Arabidopsis thaliana: one gene and its partners. The protein of the gene in region 2 purifies or fractionates together with the protein of the main gene of each other region. This does not show direct contact. Each region holds a gene or a part of one and is shown on either strand. Other genes may lie near its edges.

Region 1 (5,156 bases), on a different chromosome or scaffold from region 2:
GTTACTAGAACAAAAAGTACATTCTTTATCGTCATGATATATATTCTTATGGCAAAACAAAAGAAAAATTAAAATATTCTGATGTGTGATTCTTTTTCAAGTTTGTAACTGGGTGATGAAAATAACATGGGATTATTGTCTGATTTATATGAAAGAAATGAAGAACTGGCTTTAATTATCTTTAATGAAACTCGTTCGAGTATTTATTTGCCTATTTGGTAATTAATTTGCGGTTTCCAACATTGAAAAAGAGTTGAAAATGTAACGATTGTCTTTCAAAAAACGCATTATGAAAATGGAACCATGTCCATGTTAATATCACTCTCACCATTCTTAGTGTTATTAACTAATATATATTATGGAAGAGTTTTCTGTTCTCTTAATGTGTACATATCATCATGGTAAACATCCAATCAAACAAAGCCATGTCACCATTTTTTTTTTTTAACACTAAATTATAATTACAATGTTCATTTAATAAATATTTATTTCTATTAATATTAATTATTAACAAAAAACTAATAAAATAAAAAATGATTTTAAAATAGTAAAAGTCATAATGTGAAATTTTATTAGTAACAATAATATTATTAAAATTTTAACATAAACACAATTAAAAATGATCATACTTCAAAATACAAAAGAAAAAAAGAAGACAAAATTCAGAAAAAGAATCAAAAGATACATATGACATGTGAACAAATGGGTAGATTAGTATATATTACATGTTATACACATAATCATGTAGTCAACTTTTTTTAAGTTAGTTATTGAATTATTAAATTTTTATGGTCATACAGCCTAATTTCTCATGTATCAATTAGACCATTGTCGACAAAACAAAATAGAAAAAATAGTTGAATTGATTAGGCTCCATGTTTGACTGGTACGCCGTGTACTTGTCAATGTTCCGGACGGCGAATAGTATTTTTGATATTAGGAAATGGGGTTTACCTTCAAAATATTGGTGTGGACGGATTTGTGGATACTTGATCAGATATCAAAGGCGGCACAAAATGACCAACGATCGACGAAACAGTGCCCAAAATCAGAGTCAGAAGTGACTAGCTCGATAGCATGATCGATGCCCTTTCACCCATTTAAACCATTCCACCTAGAACACTTCAACACGACTGAAGCTAAAACTTTTGCATATCTCATAGAGATATGTTTGATAAGGTTGCTGAAAATAACAACTTCTACTATAATTTTGTCTTTTATTATTTCGACCTTCTCTTAAGAAATTCGCCCAAAAAAATTTCCAAATCAAAAAGTTGTTATTATCCTAACAGATCTTAAATTATATGTTTCGATTTTCGGTTATATACTGGTAAAATCTGAAATCCGAACATTAAAAAAAAATTGAAACCCAAACGGATACTCAAAAACACCTACAACCCAACCATTATACCAAAAAATAAAATCCAAACGTAAACCCAAAAAACACAAAACAATATATACACATATTTTTGGATTTTAAGGATCATTTGGAGCGTTTTTCTATATACATCGTTTAGGTTTTTGGAGTTTTTCGATTCAAAAATCGAATCAGAACATATTTCGATTCTATGGTCGCATTTTTTTTTTTTCGAGAACCATTCCGAACCCGTATAAATCCAAAACGAACCGATCGAAACATATTCAGTACCTTCCGAAATCTCCCTATCTAAAAAATCCAAAACCATGTCTTACCCTACAAATCCAAAACCCGAATTACCCTAATAAAATCCGATTCAAAGTCCGAATGTCTAAAAAATCCAAAACCCTATTTTACCCTACAAATCCAAAACCCGAATTATCGTAATAAAATCCAATCCGAAGTCCGAATGTTCAAGCCTAATTGAGCTACTCACTAACACACATCACACATGTGTAAATCACACCTAACTTCTCCTTCTATATATACGCCTTTGAAAGACCAATCCTAACTTTTCATTGTTTACTCTTTCGTCTTCCTTTTCAGAGTTCAATCACACAACACCTCTCTTCAATAGCAATAACCATGGCTCACACTCTCGGTCTCACTCAACCCAACTCCACTGAGCCTCACAAGGTTTGTTTCCTTCACTGTGATTTTGAAATGATTTTGTATGGAATCCAGTTTTGATTTAGTTCAAAGTTTTGATTTTTTGATTGATTCGAGTTTGAAGTTTTGATCTTTTGGTGACGATTATGCAGATCTCGTTCACTGCGAAGGAGATCGATGTAATTGAATGGAAAGGAGACATACTCGTAGTTGGTGTGACAGAGAAGGACTTAGCCAAAGACGGTAACTCAAAGTTTGAGAATCCGATCTTGAGCAAGGTCGATGCTCACTTAAGTGGACTTTTAGCTCAAGTCTCTTCCGAGGAAGATTTCACTGGGAAACCTGGTCAATCGACTGTTCTCAGGCTTCCGGGTTTAGGATCAAAGAGAATCGCTTTGATCGGTCTTGGACAGTCTGTTTCGTCTCCGGTGGCTTTTCATAGCCTTGGTGAAGCTGTAGCTACAGTTTCAAAAGCTTCTCAATCTACTAGTGCTGCTATTGTGCTTGCTTCAAGTGTTTCTGATGAATCTAAGCTTAGTTCTGTATCAGCTTTAGCTTCAGGTAACTTCAATTAGTATAACACAAGTTCGAGTCTTGTTTAGTACTGTTTTGGAAATTGGAACTGATTTGGGGTCTCATTGTTTATTTTTGGATAGGCATAGTACTTGGTTTATTTGAAGATGGTAGGTATAAGTCTGAATCAAAGAAACCATCTTTGAAAGCTGTTGATATTATTGGATTTGGAACTGGGGCTGAGGTAGAAAAGAAGCTGAAGTATGCTGAAGATGTTTCTTACGGTGTAATTTTCGGGAGAGAGCTCATTAATTCTCCTGCCAATGTGCTTACTCCTGGTATGAATTGTTGTCATTTATGAAATCAAATATTTTCGTGTTTGTGTGGTGTTCGCTGAGTTTTCCTAAACTGCTTTGATTTTTGTATCGTTTCAGCTGTACTAGCTGAGGAAGCAGCAAAGGTGGCTTCTACGTACAGTGATGTCTTCACTGCAAACATCTTGAACGAAGAGCAATGCAAAGAGTTGAAGATGGGTTCTTACCTAGCTGTTGCTGCTGCGTCGGCTAATCCTCCTCACTTCATCCACCTTGTCTATAAACCTCCGAATGGCTCTGTTAAGACCAAACTTGCTCTTGTTGGAAAAGGATTGACCTTTGACAGGTAACTAATCATTCTGTATTGCTTTGAATTTTACTCTGTTACGAGCTGGTATCTTTTCTTTGTTATTTTAGTGGTTGTTGATTTGAATATCTTGTGTACACAGTGGTGGCTACAACATTAAGACTGGACCTGGCTGCTCAATTGAGCTCATGAAATTCGACATGGGCGGTTCAGCTGCTGTTCTTGGCGCTGCGAAAGCTATTGGTGAGATTAAGCCTCCTGGTGTTGAGGTTAGTTTCTCCCATCAGATTCTTTTGAAAGCTATAGTTTGTTAACCGAACTGAACAGATTCGTCTTCCACAACCAGGTTCATTTCATCGTTGCAGCCTGTGAAAATATGATTAGTGGAACCGGAATGAGACCTGGAGATGTCATCACTGCCTCAAACGGAAAGACCATTGAGGTATCTGATGATTTTTTCCCCCTCAGAGTTGAGCTTTTACTGTTTTTCCTATGAAATGCTAATTGTTGGCGATGGTGTGTGTAGGTCAACAACACAGATGCTGAAGGTCGTCTAACACTCGCAGATGCTCTAGTGTATGCTTGTAACCAAGGCGTCGACAAGGTATTGCATTACTTTATTGATATGAGAAGCTAAAGGAGCTTGTTTCTGTTAAATTTATCCTTTCAGTTAAACATTGTCAAATATCTTGCAGATTGTTGACCTCGCTACTTTGACCGGGGCCTGTGTTATTGCTCTTGGAACTTCAATGGCAGGTACACAGCTCAAAAACCCTGCAGAAAAACTCAATCTTTGTGTCGTTTTTGAGTCCAAAATTGGCTCATGATGATCATTCTGTGTTCATTACTTGATAGGAATCTATACACCTAGCGACGAGCTTGCAAAGGAAGTGATTGCTGCATCAGAAAGGAGTGGAGAGAAGCTGTGGAGGATGCCACTGGAAGAGAGCTATTGGGAGATGATGAAGTCTGGAGTGGCTGATATGGTCAACACAGGCGGGCGGGCAGGAGGATCCATCACCGCGGCTCTCTTCTTGAAACAGGTGAAAACAAAGTCCCTTTAGAGGCTATACATACATGTTTTTGACAAAAAATTCGTCGGTGAAAGTAACTAAACCATCCTCTATTTTCTGTGGTATGGCAGTTTGTGAGTGAGAAGGTGCAATGGATGCATATCGACATGGCTGGACCGGTGTGGAACGAGAAGAAGAAGTCTGGGACCGGGTTTGGTGTTGCTACGCTTGTTGAATGGGTACAGAAGAATTCATCTTCGTGAATGAAACCTAGAGAGCGTGAGGGAGAGACTGTAGAGTTTTTCGGGTGTTGAAATGATTGCTGGTTTTTAATAAGGTCTCAAAAGTTACTATGTTTTCAGATGTTCTTAACTTGTTATGAAAAGTAAAATCGTCAAAAGTTGAATAAAGTGGTACTTTGTTTTAGTCGTGCAAAAATACTGTCTGAAATTTCTACTTTTGAAGTCTTCAACATTGGGTTCTCCTTTTCATTACTTTTTTCGGTAACCACTTCAAATTTTATGAACCATAATGTCAAATGCAATAATTGAACATCTTTTGAAAAAAAAACAGCATATGAGTGGTTACAAAACATGACTTTTATCTATCATAAAATAAAATATTTTTTTGATAATATTTTGAAGTAACTATTCTACTTAATACTCCTTTTGTTCCTTAGTACTGATTTTCTAACCGGTTTGCCCAGGTCCACGCCTTGAAGCACTGGGAAGTACACGAACCTTCACATTGTTGAAGATCTTTTGATCCCAAACCCTGTTTCCTATTTCTTTCAAAACAGAAAAAAAAGAAGCAACAATTAACAAATCATTTCTGTTATGCCAGTTTATTGCTTACGTATCTAGAGGAACCAATCCAAATTGAAAAAGAACTGTATGTCCATACCGGAATAATTATTACAAAAGCCAAAAATGAAGAGATATTATTACAATGATTCAGTTTTAGTTTTCATATATAATGAGCAA
Region 2 (4,415 bases):
TTCATCGACCCTTACAAGCTTTTGCCACTCGCTCGATTCCTTCCTCAGCCAAAGTAAGCCCCACTTCTTAACACATCATTGGTCAATATATAAGTTTCTTTTCCTGAACTTGAAATAACATTAGTGAGCTCGTTTAACTTTAGCAATTAGCTTTTTCCTCTTAACAATCGAGACTTTAGATACACTATTAGTTGAGAGTTGTTAATTGTATCAAACTCCATCTAACTGCGTGTCTTTGTTCTTCCAGGGGTCAGTCAACGGGTGGACGTGGAGGTGCAGGTCGTGGAAGAGGTGATAGTAGAGGTCGTGGAAGAGGTGGATCATTTAGTAGAGGTAGAGGTGCTCCAAGAGGTGGTAGATTTCCACCACGCGGTGGCTCTCGTGGAAGCTTTAGAGGCCGAGGAAGATTTTAGGTTCTTCTCCTGCTTTATAAGCCTTATCCAAACTTGTACCCTTTGTTTTATGAATGACTATCGTTCTCCCGTATTCTCAATTTTCAAGACTTTGGTTTTATCTATGGAGTAAAAATATTTGCATCAAATTAGATTCGTTGATAGAAAATTTGAGAAGGTTAAACTGCAATTAGCACATAGTTTTTATTACTCTAGAATTGACTCAAATCACAAAGCAAATCAACAACATAGAAAGATTTTCTGAATTCTTGTTCTTTAGCTTCCCATGGGGGGGTATCAAGAACCCCAGCCTCTGATAGTGGTAGCTTGAGCGACACGATTAATACCGAGGGTGAAAGCTCCCATACGGAGATCACATGAGTGCGTCTGACACATTTCTTTCAAGTCTTTGAACCCGCGAGTCATGTAGGTCTTTAGCTCCCTATTCACCTTTTCCTCATCCCACATGAATCCTTGTATGTTCTTCACACAGATATAACACAAATCAGTGTTTTGATCGAGTGGCTTTAGATTCGATTAGGTCATACAGTCTTGATTTTCGAGTCTTACCTGAACCCACTCGAAGTAACTTACAGTGACTCCTCCTGAGTTTGCGTATATATCTGGGAGGATCATAACACCTTTCTTCTTCAAGATCTGCGGAGACAGATATTACAGAGTTTCTGTTACGCGAGTTTGAGAAGAAGAAAGAGCAAAAACAAAGTATCAGATTTTCGAATAACCTCGTCAGCCTCAGGATCAGTTGGGTGATTAGCACCTTCAATGATGAATTTGGCTTTTATTTCGTTTGCATTTTCCCTAAAACAGACCAAAGCCAGAGGTTTAGAGGAAATCATGATAGAGAATAGATTAATATTTTTGAGACAAGAAACTATAAAAGACCTGTTGATGACTCCCCCTAGAGCTGCAGGGACAAGAATATCACAATCTTCGACAAGAATCGAATCAGGATCGATTGAATCAGCACCATCAAACCCTTTGATTCCTCTGTTTTCTTCAGCATGCTCGAGCAAACTCAAGATGTCAATTCCATTATTGTTCTTGATTGCTCCTGTGACATCACTCACCGCCACAATCTTACCACCTTTGTCACTTATCAACTTCGCTGCCCAAGAACCCACATTTCCAAAGCCCTAAAACGCAGAGACAGTATGAGTACCCTGACACCGAAGTAATCTCTCTGACTAAACATTGTAACTTCTTTTACCTGGATGGCGAATCGCTGTCCAGATATGGTCTTTCCATGTTCGTTGAGTAAAGCTTCTGTTGCAAACAACACTCCTCTTCCTGTAGCAGCATCTCTCCCAAGAGATCCACCAAGATCCTGCTCAAAACATCATCCTCAAAAATCAAATCTCATTCAGTTTTAGATTAGTTGAACACATAAACCGAACCAACCTAAAACCGCGATTAGAACGGTCACTTACAATGGGTTTTCCAGTGACAACAGCAGGAGAATGTCCATGGAATTTTGAGTATTCATCAAGAATCCAAGCCATTGTCTGAAAATTTTCATCACTATATTTCAGACAAGAACAACACGTAAAATACAAGATGAAGACTTCAAGATCATGTTTTCGAAACCTGAGGACCGGTTCCCATATCAGGAGCTGGAACATCAGTATGAATCCCAATAAGATCGTGAATCTTCTGAGTGAAAACTCGAGTCAAACGTTCGAGCTCTGAGAGACTTAGCTCGCTCGGGTCACAACCGATTCCTCCTTTGGCTCCTCCATAAGGTATCTTAGCCACTGCTGTTTTCCATGTCATAAGTTGAGCCAAAGCGTTTACTTCATCCGGTTCAACCTGTCGATTACCGAAATCTGGTTTACTTCATGCCAATATTGAATTTGTTTTGGTTTGATGAAAAAAAAACAGAGTAAAACAAACCTCTGGATGATATCTGATTCCACCTTTCATGGGACCTCTTGCATTGTCGTGTTGAACTCTGAATCCAACAAAGGATGCTAGAGTTCCATCGTCTTTTGGTATGGTACATTCCACCTGCAATAGTTGGTTAGTTCCGTTCAAATGATCTTGAACCGGATCGGTTCTGCAGATCTGTTATAGATGGAAGAAGAAAACAGAGGAAAACATCGAACCTTGATCTCTCTGAAGGGAATGAGAAGACTTTTCTCGAGCTTTGAGTCTAAACCAAGAAGCCTAGAAGCAAGCTTGAAGTTTCTGTTGGTTGCTGCTAAAGCATTCATGGCTTTCTTCTCTCTTCTTTATTTTGGGTTTATTTGATCAGAGAGTCTGATATGAAGACAGTTGGAAAAATGTGAGTCTTGCTTATGTTATTGCAAGTTTATTTATATAGAGTGATACGTACACACTTCGTGTTATGGAATATGAGAATGAAAATTTTGTTATTTATATTTATAATAAAAGATAATTTATATAAGGAATATGAATAATCATATAAGATGATACCCATAATTGATCCTGATTTTGAGTATTCAGAATACTATGTGTCTGTTTAGCAAAGTTCTCACACAAAAAAAATATATAGATTATAGAAATAGCCCATGTCTTCACCATGTGTATAAACTAGATCAGAATAATGGAATATTCATTAATGAAAAGGAAATCCGTAGACTAATCAAGCAGAATAAATATATTCTTTTCATTACAAAAAGATCAGAATAAAAATAGGAAAAATCAAGATTTCACAAGATTATAAATATTACATGGATGAAAGAGATAGCTCGTAAAATTTATCTTATTGTGTCACACACTGTCATTTTATTCATTTTAAATCTAGATTAAAGGAAAAAATAACATTTCGTATTACCTAATTAGTACCCACCTAATAAGCAAGGACCAAGATATTGTTTTTCAGAATTTGTTTTTTTTTTTAAATAAGAAAATATGATACAATAATGATCTAGCAATAGCATGCATTGGACCGGATGACTATACTCGTGCATGAAAAATCATAGTCAAATTGTAATACGTTAATGTGGGACGATAATAATACTTTTTTTTTGTTTTATTATCTACGATTATATATATATTAATAATCATTTACATATTTGTGATATACGACCCGAAATGAATCTTGCATGTCATAAGATCTTTACGTGTTATTAACTTATTCAATTCTACTTGCCCCTACACATATAGGCATAGCGTATACACTTTTGTGAGAGGGTGACAAAAAAAAACGTATACACTTTAGTGAGCTAGTGGGAAAAAAACGTATAAACTTATCACACACATACAATATTCAGTTTTAATTGAAAAGATTCTACGGATATATGTTTTTTTAGATACTCAAATCAGAATCTTTTTGGAATTAGAGGAGGACACGAGAGGATGCAACAAATCAAGAAACATATAGAATTACAAGATTCCACCATGAAAGAATCTTTTTGGAAAAGAGATTCCCCATGATTTATGCTTCCACTAATATAATTGATTTATTGTGGATTTCCACCAAGATTTCTTTCTCTTTCAATTTCCAAAAGAAGATATCAATTTCGTAATAACAACATTGACCGTAAATAGTGTTTCCAAATTTGATCTCACCCTCTTTGGTCAAACCAATATATAGAAATAATACCCCAATAAAGAATCCGGTTCATGGTAGGCTTGGTAGCTAATGTCAAGGATTTAGTATTTTTAAAACGTTATGCATTAGCTTTCTATCACTTTTTAATACATGAAAAAAAAAAAAAAAAAAAAAACCAATTGGACTTTCTCCTAAAAGGCCATTCCCTAATAAACAACAAACTACGAAAAGCTAAACATGTATTTAAAATATTAAAGTGATAGAAAGCTAATGCATAACAATTAAATGAAGCAATTTTTTTATATTCTTTGGTCAAACCAATATATATACAGAAATAATACCCCATTAAAGAATACTGTTCATGGTAGCTAATGTCAAGGATTTAGTATTTTTAAAACGTTATGCATTAGCTTTCTATCACTTTTTAATAAATGAAAAATAATAACTCAAACAAATATAAAAGGCCATTCCCTCTACGAAAAGCAAAA
Region 3 (5,485 bases), on a different chromosome or scaffold from region 2:
TAACTAAATTAAGAGTCATTGGTTTAGACTGGTTAAGATCCGGTTCAATAATCAACAACAAACACGGGAGATAAGGTTCGCCGTTACCTTTCTCGGCGATTACTCTCGGTGGATCTGCTCGGGGCTCGATGAGGCGGTTTAAGCTCACGGCAGTAAGGTCTCATAGCTCAACAATCAAAACCAAAACAAAGCACAGATCATAAGAGAAAGCCAAAAACTTCCTGAGCAAGTTACATAATAGATCTAGGGTTTCCTTACCCTTAACGGCCTTGGCGATGGACTACGACTACTCCGGTGACAGCGGTTGACATCCTGTGACTCGTGGTGTCACTCTCCGGTGACACACGGTGGCTGTAGTGGTGATGAACGGCGACTATCTCTCCTTCTCAACAACTCACGGACCCATTCAAATACAACAACATGACGGGACACAGCAACAACGGTGGCTCAACTGTGTCTCTCACGGTGGTTGTTGAATTTAAGTTTAGACTAGGTAAGCATACAACAACAAAACTAATCTTCTGATTGATTTAACTTGTCATACTTAGTTGCACAAAAAAAAAAAACTTGTCCCACCACACAAAGCAAAAACACAACTAGTTCACATCAGTCAGAGATCACCAGACTTCATCTTAAGAAGAAGAATGGTTCTGTACCCACTCAACTAGTGTCGCAACTCCAAACCCAGTTGCAGCTTTCTTCTTCTCGTTCCACACTGGTCCAGCCATATCTATGTGCATCCACTCAACATCCTCGCTCACAAACTGCAACCATTAACCAAACCCGGTTCTTCGTTAGAGAACAATAGCGTCAGTATTGAAATGTGTTCTTTTGTTTCCACTCTTATGATATACTCACCTGTTTCAAGAAAAGAGCCGCGGTAATGGATCCACCTGCACGGCCTCCAGTGTTAACCATATCTGCAACACCTGACTTCATCATCTCCCAGTAACTCTCTTCCATAGGCATTCTCCATAACTTCTCTCCACTCCTCTCTGATGCAGCAATCACCTCCTTTGCAAGCTTATCACTAGGTGTATATATGCCTGCAGAAAAACCAATAGTCAACCATCACGAAAGAATTTTATTCTGTCTTATTTAAAACACAAGACTATGTACCTGCCATTGATGTTCCAAGAGCAATAATACAAGCCCCAGTCAATGTTGCAAGGTCAACAACCTGCAAATATTGTAATTCACAAGTTGAGACTTGAGAGAAAAACCAACAGAAAGAATGTATTAATAAGTCGAAGAATCTTTGAAACAATACCTTATCGACACCCTGGTTGCAAGCATAAACTAAAGCATCTGCAAGTGTTAGTCGACCTTCAGCATCGGTGTTGTTGACCTGCAATACCACCCACAATTAGTTTGGCGTAAAACTAACAATGGAAAGCTCGAACCTTTTGAAGCTGAATTCATATGGAAACGGTGTTATGATACCTCAATCGTCTTTCCGTTTGAGGCTGTGAGGACATCTCCAGGTCTCATTCCAGTACCACTTATCATATTCTCACAAGCTGCGACAATAAAGTGCACCTGATTGTGCAACGAAGCATTTGTTTAGGTACATTCATTTAACTCAGAAACGCAAGCTCCGTGTGATAAACTTACCTCAACACCTGGAGGCTTAATTTGACCAATGGCTTTTGCAGCGCCAAGAACAGCAGCTGAACCTCCCATATCGAATTTCATGAGCTCAATTAAGCAGCCAGGCCCGGTTTTAATGTTGTAGCCACCGCTGTGAACAAAAACCATCTGGTCAATAACTAATAAGTATTAAATAAAGAGATTGATGCGGCAAACAGAAGCCAACAGCTCTAGTACCTGTCAAATGTCAATCCTTTTCCAACAAGAGCAAGTTTTGTTTTAACAGGGCCACTAGAAGGTTTGTAGATAAGATGTATGAAATGAGGTGGATTAGCTGAAGCAGCAGCTACAGCAAGATATGAACCCATCTTCAACTCTTTGCATTGCTCCTCGTTCAAGATGTTGGCAGTCATGACATCACTGTACATGGAAGCCAGATTCAAGGCTTCCTCAGCTAGTACGGCTGTAAGATACAAAGCAGATTAGAGAAAAATGTTTGAAATAAACTTCAACAGACATGATGCTCACATTATTAAAAAAAAAAAAAATGAAAAGTCTAAGACTGATGCTCAAGAAACAATCCTCACCAGGAGTGAGAACATTGGCTGGAGAATTAACGAGTTCTTTCCCGAAAATAACGCCATAAGAAACATGTTCAGCATACTTAAGCTTCTTCTCTAGTTCAGGTCCAGAGCCAAAGCCAATGATATCTACAGATTTGAGTGATGGTTTCTTCGACTCAGACTTATACCGGCTGTCTTCAAACAAACCAAGCACTGTGCCTGTAAAAATAAACAACAATTCCACATAACGATCAGTTCCAAAATGGTAATGAAACAACCATTCTCGAGCTTTAATAGACGAAACCACAACAACAACAAATAAAACACCTGAAGCTATAGCTGACGCAGAACAGAGCTTAGATTCATTAGAAACACTCTCAGAGGAGGCGAGAACAACTGCAACACTGCTAGCTTGAGAAGCTTTAGCAGCTGCAGCAACAGCCTCACCGAGACTCTGAAAAGCCGAAGGAGTTGAAGCAGATTTTCCAAGACCAATCAAACCAACTCGCTTAGACCCAAGACCCGGAAGCCTAAGAACTGTCGACTGACCAGGTTTCCCAGAAAAATCTTCCTCAGACGAGACATCAGCTAAAAGTCCACCCAAGTGAGCATCAAGCTTCTTCAGAATCGGGTTTTCGAACTTGGAGTTCACATCCTTAGCCATGTCTTTCTCCGTCACTCCAACAGCGAGTATATCACCTTTCCATTCCGTCACGTCGATCTCCTTCCCCGAAAATGAGATCTGATACAGCAAATTCGACTAATCAGAATCCAATTAACCACAAAAATTCAAACTCGAAAGCTAATCTCTGACAAGACTTGACCATAATCGAAGTCAGCAAATCAGTGGATCATCTTAATCGGAAACAGTAAAGCGACGAATCTACAAAGCATTCACTAGTATCGAGTTTAAACACATAACAGCAAAATCGAATAATGCTGCAAGCGATCAGGAACAAACCTTAGGATGATCGACGGAGTTAGCCTGAGTGAGGCCGAGAGTAGCGTGTGAGATTGTATGAGCCATGGCTCTAGAAGAAGAGTAGAGAGGCGTGACGGCAAAAGCGAGTCTAAGGCGAGAGGGGAACTGGAATCGGACGAAACAAGAGGAGAGAGACGACGGAGAAGAGGAGAATGAGCGGAAATGGAAGCGAGAAGACGAAGAAGCGAAGGACGTTACCAAAGTGACGGCCATTTGAGTAACGCACTGAGCTTCTCTTATTTATAAGGAGAAGAAAAGCCGCGTTTGTGCTTATCTCTCTCTCTCTCTTGTTGACGATGATTCTTCTTTTACTTGACTCATTGTTTGCTTTTATCCAACCCGTCCCCACCCGACCCGATCTTAACCATGGACTTACGTACTCGTGTAGCTTTATAATTCTCTTTGGCTCCAAATTGCTTTTGTTTAAGTTCTTTATACATATTTATACAAACAATGGTTTTGATACTATTTACAAACATTCAAATATTTCAAGGCATTCTTACACGATTTTCCGATGTTGATAAAAGAAATTATAAATCAGTTCCAAGTACTATCAATTCTGTGAATCATTTGTTGATGAGGAAGTGGTTGCCATATATAGTTACAATAATAATCACCTGATCTAAAGAGTCATAGTGGAAAAAATCGAGATTTTGAGTGTAATGTGACTTGCAGTTATTACCAATTTACCACCAGTTTCATATCTGTGACCGAGACTTGCATGAAGAAGTAAATTAAACCATAACCAAACCACAGTAGTACAGTACAAAGTACAAAGCATAGAGAAGATAAGGAGAGAGATGTTTCCGCAAATCTTTATTTCTGAAACAGAAGCAACAAACAGCTCCCACAAGCATGAGCCAGTTTAAATACAAAATGAAGAGCAAGGAGAACAAGACAGTGAAAGGCAAATCACATTTCATATCTCAGGAGCCTAGTTACTTACCACTAACTACCAAGAAGGCCTTTTCATCATTTCAACGACTTTAAAATCTAGTTCTTAGTGAACAGCAAGTGATAATTTAACTTACTTCAAATGTATCGGCATCAGCAAAAAAGAAAGAAGCAAATTTTATCTCTAAGCAACTAGCTCAGCCTTCGTCTGTTCTGTAACAGCTTCTTTCGAAGGCTTATGGACGATCTTCGGTTCTGGTTTTTCAATTCCTTGTATATCGGTTATTCTCAACTTCGTCAATTCCTGGACACAAGTGTTGAATGGTCAAAAACAACAATCATAACACAGTGGAAAGAACTAGAAGAAGGCAAAGATGAAATAAACACACTGTCTATCTAAACAAGGAGTTATAAAGTATACCTGTCGATGTCCTCTCGTTCTCCTATAATTCTTTCTTCGTTTCTTTTTGAAAATGAGCACTTTTTCATCCAAAGCCTGTCACGCATCAAGGAAAAACTAGTTGAGTAATGCTGGTACATGAGTAGATCCTTCTACATTCCAAGCCCATCTTAAATCAAGACATTCAGATGATGTAGAGATAGATGAACACTAATCTAATGACTTGCAAGACTTTCACAAACTAATCAGCAGACAGTTTGATTTAGTTTCTCTCAGTCACCGGATTCAGCAAGCAAACTCTCATCTATCCTCTTTTCAATTGTAAATTATTCTTAAGCACAGCTTCACTAGTATTATAAAACACCAAGCAAGTCAATGAGACACTTACATGCTCTTCAACTACAGCATGAACTGTCGCATCTGGCAAAATAGGCCTACCAATAATCGTCTGGCTTGCCGAGCCCAATAGAAGAACCTTGGTTAGTTCCAACTGCAAAGGGACATAAAGAGAAAGGTTTTAGCAACAATCATAAATCATAAACACAAATGCAAAGGTTCGTCCTTCTTACGAGAGATACGGTAAAGTCTAGCCCTTTGAGAGAAGAATAGCAAAGATTAACGAAGAAGAGCTTGAAGCTAGCATACCTTATCATTGATGTCACAGAATTTCAACTTCTCGGTGAAAATGGAGTCCCCATTGCTAACTTTAAACTGATGCGAACCAATCTACAGGATAAAAATAACCACTCAGCATCAGTGAGAGTGAGAAATGAAACTAAAGGATTAATTGAGATAGCACAGAGACGAGACCTGAACAATGGCAAACACTGGTTCATAGGGTTTGAAAAGTCTCTCCGAAGGTTTAAGAGGACCCATCACCTTGTACCCTATCTCCTCCGCCTCTTCCACTTTCTCCGCCGGTGAATATTCCCTTTCTACTTCCATATCCGCCGAATCCTCAAAGTCTTCCCCCTCCTCCTCATCATCATCCTCTCCTTCACTGCTTTCTTCATCTTCATCAGTATCCTTTGTGTTCGAAGAGAAACAACGATCTTG
Region 4 (5,210 bases), on a different chromosome or scaffold from region 2:
AAACGTCGCTCTCATAAGAACATACCATGATTTCAAAGGTGTGAAACATTCCACCCTCTCATGAGCTATAAAAATCATTTATCTCCAAAGCTTCTAGATCATAACATGTTGGGCCTTTGTTCAGGTGACAAGCAGGGAACGGTCGAGTTCCTGAAGCTGATATTCAGAGCGTTATGCCTCTGCTGGGACCGACAGACGCAAGATCTACACACGGATTGGATACTTTACAGAGGTAGATCTATAGTTCCTGTAATGTGCGAGATCGTAAATGATAAGATTGACGACTTGTATCCTTCATCTCACTACCCTGTGTTTGCTGAGTTTATGCTTCCTCGTTCTGTAAGAATGCTTGAACCTACTCCTCCTGTTTCTGCTCCTGCTCAAGAGGAAAGCTAGAACACATGTCCTCACTTGCTTAAGCTTTGGACTATACTGATTGTTGTGCAAATGAGCTCTGTTTTTTTCTCGGCGCCTTTATTTATTGATTTGAGCTAAAACATATTCAAAAGAGATTTAAATAAATTGTTTTGTTTGCTCCTAATAGTTTGTGTTATTATTGATGACCACTGAAACATAAGATTGACGACTTGTATCCTTCATCTTGTGCTCCTAATAGTTTGTGTTATTAGGTAAGTGATGTTACGGAACACAAGAATATCTACAAATAGTCAAATACTTTCAAATGGGTAACTCGTCATATTCAAGCGTCACACTTCACAGTTCACACAAGCAAATAAAAACCCTTTTACCTACATTAAAACCTCTGAGAATGTTAAATAAGAACTGGGAGCACAAAGATCACCTGCCTACATCTTAAGAAGAATTGTTCTGTACCCACTCAACAAGTGTCGCAACTCCAAACCCAGTCGCAGCTTTCTTCTTCTCGTTCCACACCCGTCCAGCCATATCTATGTGCAACCACTCAACATTCTCGCTAACAAACTGCAACCATTAACCAAATCCGGTTCTTCGTTAGAGAACAATAGAATCAGTATTGAAGTGTGTTTTTTTGTTTCCACTCTTATGGTATCCTCACCCGTTTCAAAAAGAGAGCTGCGGTGATGGATCCACCTGCACGGCCTCCAAAGTTAACCATATCTGCAACACCTGACTTCATCATCTCCCAATAACTCTCTTCCATAGGCATTCTCCATAACTTCTCTCCACTCCTCTGTGATGCAGCAATTACCTCCTTGGCAAGCTCATCACTAGCTGTGTACATGCCTGCAGAAATCAAAAATCGAAACCAATATTCAATCATCACGAAAGAATGTCATTCTGTCTATTTTATACACAAGACTATGTACCTGCCATTGATGGTCCAAGAGCAACAATAATCTCCCCGGTCAATGTTGCAATGTCAACAATCTGCAAATATATATGATTCACAAGTTGAGAGAAAACCCAGCAGAAAGAATGTTATTGATAAGGGGAAGAATCTTTGAAACAATACCTTATCGACACCCTGGTTGCAAGCATAAACTAGAGCATCTGCAAGTGTTAGCCGACCTTCAGAATCGGTGTCGTTGACCTGCAACACTAACAATGGAAAGCTTGAACCTTTCGAAGCTGAATTCATATGGAAACGGTGTAATGATACCTCAATTGTCTTCCCGTTTGAGGCTGTGATGACATCTCCAGGTCTCATTCCGGTACCACTTATCATATTCTCACAAGCTGCGACAATAAAGTGCACCTAATTGTGCAAAGAAGCATTTGTTCAGGTACATTCACTTAACTCAGAAACTCAAGCTCCGTGTGATAAACTTACCTCAACACCGGGAGGCTTAATTTCACCAATGGCTTTTGCAGCGCCAAGAACAGCAGCTGAACCTCCCACATCGATTTTCATGAGCTCAATTATTAATTCAGGCCCAATTTTAATGTTGTAGCCACCGCTGTGAACAAAAACCAGATGGTCAATAACCAATAAGTATAAAAGAAAGAGATTGATGCGGCAAACAGAAGACAACAGCTCTTGCGAGTACCTGTCAAATGTCAATCCTTTTCCAACAAGAGCAAGTTTGGTTTTAACAGGGCCACTAGAAGGTTTGTAGATAAGGTGGATGAAATGAGGTGGATTAGCTGAAGCAGCAGCTACAGCAAGATATGAACCCATCTTCAATTCTTTGCATTGCTCCTCTTTCAAGATGTTTGCAGTCATGACATTACTGTACATGGAAGCCAGATTCGAGGCTTCCTCAGCTAGTACGGCTGTAAGATACAAAGCAGATTAGAGTCAAATGTTTGAAATAAACTTCAATAGACATGATGCTCACATTATAAAAAACATGAGAAGTCTAAGAGTATGATTATAATCCATACCAGGGGAGAGAACATTGGCTGGTGAATTAACAAGTTCTTTCGTGAAAATTACGCCATAAGAAACATGTTCAGCATACTTAAGCTTGTTCTCTAGTTCAGGTCCAGTGCCAAAGCCAATGAATACTACAGATTTGAGAGATGGTTTCTTTGACTCAGACTTATACCGACTGTCTTCAAACAAACCAAGCACTGTGCCTGTCAAAAGTAAAAAACGATTCCACAAAAGGATCAGTTCAAAAATGGTAATGAAACAAGCACTTCTCAAGGTTTACTAAAAGAAATCACAACCTGAAGCTATATCTGAAGCAGAACTGAGCTTAGATTCATCAGAAAAACTCTCAGAGGAGGCGAGAACAACTGCAACACTGCTAGCTTGAGAAGCTTTAGCAGCTGCAGCAACAGCCTCACCAAGACTCTGAAAAGCCGAAGGGGTTGAAGCAGATTTTCCAAGACCAATCAAACCGACCCGCTTTGAGCCGAGACCCGGAAGCCTAAGAACTGTTGACTGGCCAGGTTTCCCAGAAAAATCTTCCTCAGCCGAGACATCAGCTAGAAGTCCACCCAAGTGGGCATCAAGCTTCTTCAGTATGGGGTTCTCGAACTTGGAGTTGGCATCCTTAGCCATATCTTTCTCCGTCACTCCAACAGCGAGTATATCACCTTTCCATTCAGTCACGTCAATCTCCTTCCCGGAAAATGAGATCTGATACAGAAAACTCGAGTAATCAGAATCCAGTTAAGCATCTGGAAAGCTAATCTCTGACAAGACTTGACCATAATCGAAGTAAGCAAATCAGTGGATCATCTTAATCGGAAACAGTAAAGCGACGAATCTACAAAGCATTCACTAGTATCGAGTTTAAACACATAACAGCAAAGTCAAACCTTAGGATGATCGACGGAGTTGGCCTGAGTAAGGCCAAGAGTAGCGTGTGCGATTGTATGAGCCGTGGCTTTAGAAGAGCAGTAGAGAGGCGTGATGGCGAAAGAGACTCTAAGGCGAGACAGCAACTGGAATCGTACGAAACAAGAGGAGAGAGACGACGGAGAAGAGGAGAAAGAGCGGAAATGGAAGCGAGAAGAAGAAGCACATGACGTTACCAAAGTGACCGCCATTTGAGAAGTCTCCACTGAGCTTAGCTTCTTTATATTTATTTATAAGGAGAAGAACAGAGTGGCTGATGCAGACATATATATATATATATATATATATAGTATGAAATTAGAGTTATCTTAGAAAATTAGAGTGGCCCAGTCTCTTCTTGCGTCCGCCCGCGTCCGACCGTCGTGTCTTGTTGACGATGATTATTCTTTTACTTGACTCACTCACTATTGCTATTATCCGACCCGATCTTAACAATCTTGATTAGCTGTAGACTTCTTTTCAAATTTTAATGTGATCATGTTTCACTATTACTAAACTTATCTTGATAACCATATCTGAAATACTTACTACTGTTATTTGTTGCCTTCAAATTTAAAGTTGTTTATACAAAACATAGTTTTGATACTATTTATAGAAATTCAAATATTTCAAGGCATTCTTACACGAAGTGATAAAAGAAATTGAAAAACACGTCAGTATTATCACTTTTGTAACTCATTTGTGGATCAATAGGTGAAATCCAATTAAAAATACATGATTTAATCTAATAACCAAACCAAATTTAGAAATCTCGATTAATTGATTTGGTATTCTTCCAATTAAATTAATTAGACTTGGTTTAATAATTAAACCAAACCAAATTCTTATAATCTAGTTACACCACACAGACGTAATAATACACCAACAACGCAAATTGTCATTGGTTTCGGTTCTGGTCTTAACTAAATTAAGAGTCATTGGTTTAGACTGGTTAAGATCCGGTTCAATAATCAACAACAAACACGGGAGATAAGGTTCGCCGTTACCTTTCTCGGCGATTACTCTCGGTGGATCTGCTCGGGGCTCGATGAGGCGGTTTAAGCTCACGGCAGTAAGGTCTCATAGCTCAACAATCAAAACCAAAACAAAGCACAGATCATAAGAGAAAGCCAAAAACTTCCTGAGCAAGTTACATAATAGATCTAGGGTTTCCTTACCCTTAACGGCCTTGGCGATGGACTACGACTACTCCGGTGACAGCGGTTGACATCCTGTGACTCGTGGTGTCACTCTCCGGTGACACACGGTGGCTGTAGTGGTGATGAACGGCGACTATCTCTCCTTCTCAACAACTCACGGACCCATTCAAATACAACAACATGACGGGACACAGCAACAACGGTGGCTCAACTGTGTCTCTCACGGTGGTTGTTGAATTTAAGTTTAGACTAGGTAAGCATACAACAACAAAACTAATCTTCTGATTGATTTAACTTGTCATACTTAGTTGCACAAAAAAAAAAAACTTGTCCCACCACACAAAGCAAAAACACAACTAGTTCACATCAGTCAGAGATCACCAGACTTCATCTTAAGAAGAAGAATGGTTCTGTACCCACTCAACTAGTGTCGCAACTCCAAACCCAGTTGCAGCTTTCTTCTTCTCGTTCCACACTGGTCCAGCCATATCTATGTGCATCCACTCAACATCCTCGCTCACAAACTGCAACCATTAACCAAACCCGGTTCTTCGTTAGAGAACAATAGCGTCAGTATTGAAATGTGTTCTTTTGTTTCCACTCTTATGATATACTCACCTGTTTCAAGAAAAGAGCCGCGGTAATGGATCCACCTGCACGGCCTCCAGTGTTAACCATATCTGCAACACCTGACTTCATCATCTCCCAGTAACTCTCTTCCATAGGCATTCTCCATAACTTCTCTCCACTCCTCTCTGATGCAGCAATCACCTCCTTTGCAAGCTTATCACTAGGTGTATATATGCCTGCAGAAAAACCAA

What was found.
Region 1: the proteins of GDH3 (region 2) and LAP1 fractionate together in Arabidopsis thaliana (co-fractionation; one large-scale study listed by BioGRID). This does not show direct contact.
Region 3: the proteins of GDH3 (region 2) and LAP2 fractionate together in Arabidopsis thaliana (co-fractionation; one large-scale study listed by BioGRID). This does not show direct contact.
Region 4: the proteins of GDH3 (region 2) and AT4G30910 fractionate together in Arabidopsis thaliana (co-fractionation; one large-scale study listed by BioGRID). This does not show direct contact.

Annotation. Positions count from the first base shown.
Region 1 is NC_003071.7:10,286,297-10,291,452, reverse strand, and holds LAP1 (Cytosol aminopeptidase family protein), read left to right. Parts: upstream 1-1,767; 5' UTR 1,768-2,002; coding exon 2,003-2,053; intron 2,054-2,178; coding exon 2,179-2,587; intron 2,588-2,682; coding exon 2,683-2,877; intron 2,878-2,973; coding exon 2,974-3,199; intron 3,200-3,302; coding exon 3,303-3,429; intron 3,430-3,506; coding exon 3,507-3,602; intron 3,603-3,686; coding exon 3,687-3,764; intron 3,765-3,855; coding exon 3,856-3,916; intron 3,917-4,015; coding exon 4,016-4,203; intron 4,204-4,304; coding exon 4,305-4,436; 3' UTR 4,437-4,647; downstream 4,648-5,156. Other genes in the region: AT2G24205 (ECA1 gametogenesis related family protein), read right to left, coding at 1-35; AT2G24195 (uncharacterized protein), read right to left, coding at 4,863-4,960. UniProt on the Arabidopsis thaliana protein: Presumably involved in the processing and regular turnover of intracellular proteins. Catalyzes the removal of unsubstituted N-terminal amino acids from various peptides.
Region 2 is NC_003074.8:1,005,121-1,009,535, reverse strand, and holds GDH3 (glutamate dehydrogenase 3), read right to left. Parts: upstream 2,757-4,415; 5' UTR 2,624-2,756; coding exon 2,516-2,623; intron 2,418-2,515; coding exon 2,304-2,417; intron 2,220-2,303; coding exon 1,998-2,219; intron 1,916-1,997; coding exon 1,841-1,915; intron 1,738-1,840; coding exon 1,621-1,737; intron 1,547-1,620; coding exon 1,296-1,546; intron 1,212-1,295; coding exon 1,136-1,211; intron 1,050-1,135; coding exon 963-1,049; coding exon of another isoform or gene 930-962; intron 876-929; coding exon 690-875; 3' UTR 518-689; downstream 1-517. Other genes in the region: AT3G03920 (H/ACA ribonucleoprotein complex, subunit Gar1/Naf1 protein), read left to right, coding at 1-53, 248-413.
Region 3 is NC_003075.7:15,045,957-15,051,441, forward strand, and holds LAP2 (Cytosol aminopeptidase family protein), read right to left. Parts: upstream 3,483-5,485; 5' UTR 3,349-3,482; coding exon 3,115-3,348; intron 2,896-3,114; coding exon 2,481-2,895; intron 2,373-2,480; coding exon 2,178-2,372; intron 2,054-2,177; coding exon 1,828-2,053; intron 1,742-1,827; coding exon 1,615-1,741; intron 1,540-1,614; coding exon 1,444-1,539; intron 1,349-1,443; coding exon 1,271-1,348; intron 1,181-1,270; coding exon 1,120-1,180; intron 1,047-1,119; coding exon 859-1,046; intron 765-858; coding exon 633-764; 3' UTR 501-632; downstream 1-500. Other genes in the region: NFD1 (Ribosomal protein L21), read right to left, coding at 4,214-4,333, 4,451-4,525, 4,818-4,919, 5,075-5,155, 5,240-5,485. UniProt on the Arabidopsis thaliana protein: Presumably involved in the processing and regular turnover of intracellular proteins. Catalyzes the removal of unsubstituted N-terminal amino acids from various peptides.
Region 4 is NC_003075.7:15,041,808-15,047,017, forward strand, and holds AT4G30910 (Cytosol aminopeptidase family protein), read right to left. Parts: upstream 3,538-5,210; 5' UTR 3,442-3,537; coding exon 3,211-3,441; intron 3,029-3,210; coding exon 2,614-3,028; intron 2,521-2,613; coding exon 2,326-2,520; intron 2,215-2,325; coding exon 1,989-2,214; intron 1,899-1,988; coding exon 1,772-1,898; intron 1,697-1,771; coding exon 1,454-1,696; intron 1,369-1,453; coding exon 1,308-1,368; intron 1,225-1,307; coding exon 1,037-1,224; intron 943-1,036; coding exon 814-942; 3' UTR 550-813; downstream 1-549. Other genes in the region: AT4G30900 (DNAse I-like superfamily protein), read left to right, coding at 1-38, 125-396; LAP2 (Cytosol aminopeptidase family protein), read right to left, coding at 4,782-4,913, 5,008-5,195. UniProt on the Arabidopsis thaliana protein: Presumably involved in the processing and regular turnover of intracellular proteins. Catalyzes the removal of unsubstituted N-terminal amino acids from various peptides. Possesses Cys-Gly dipeptidase activity.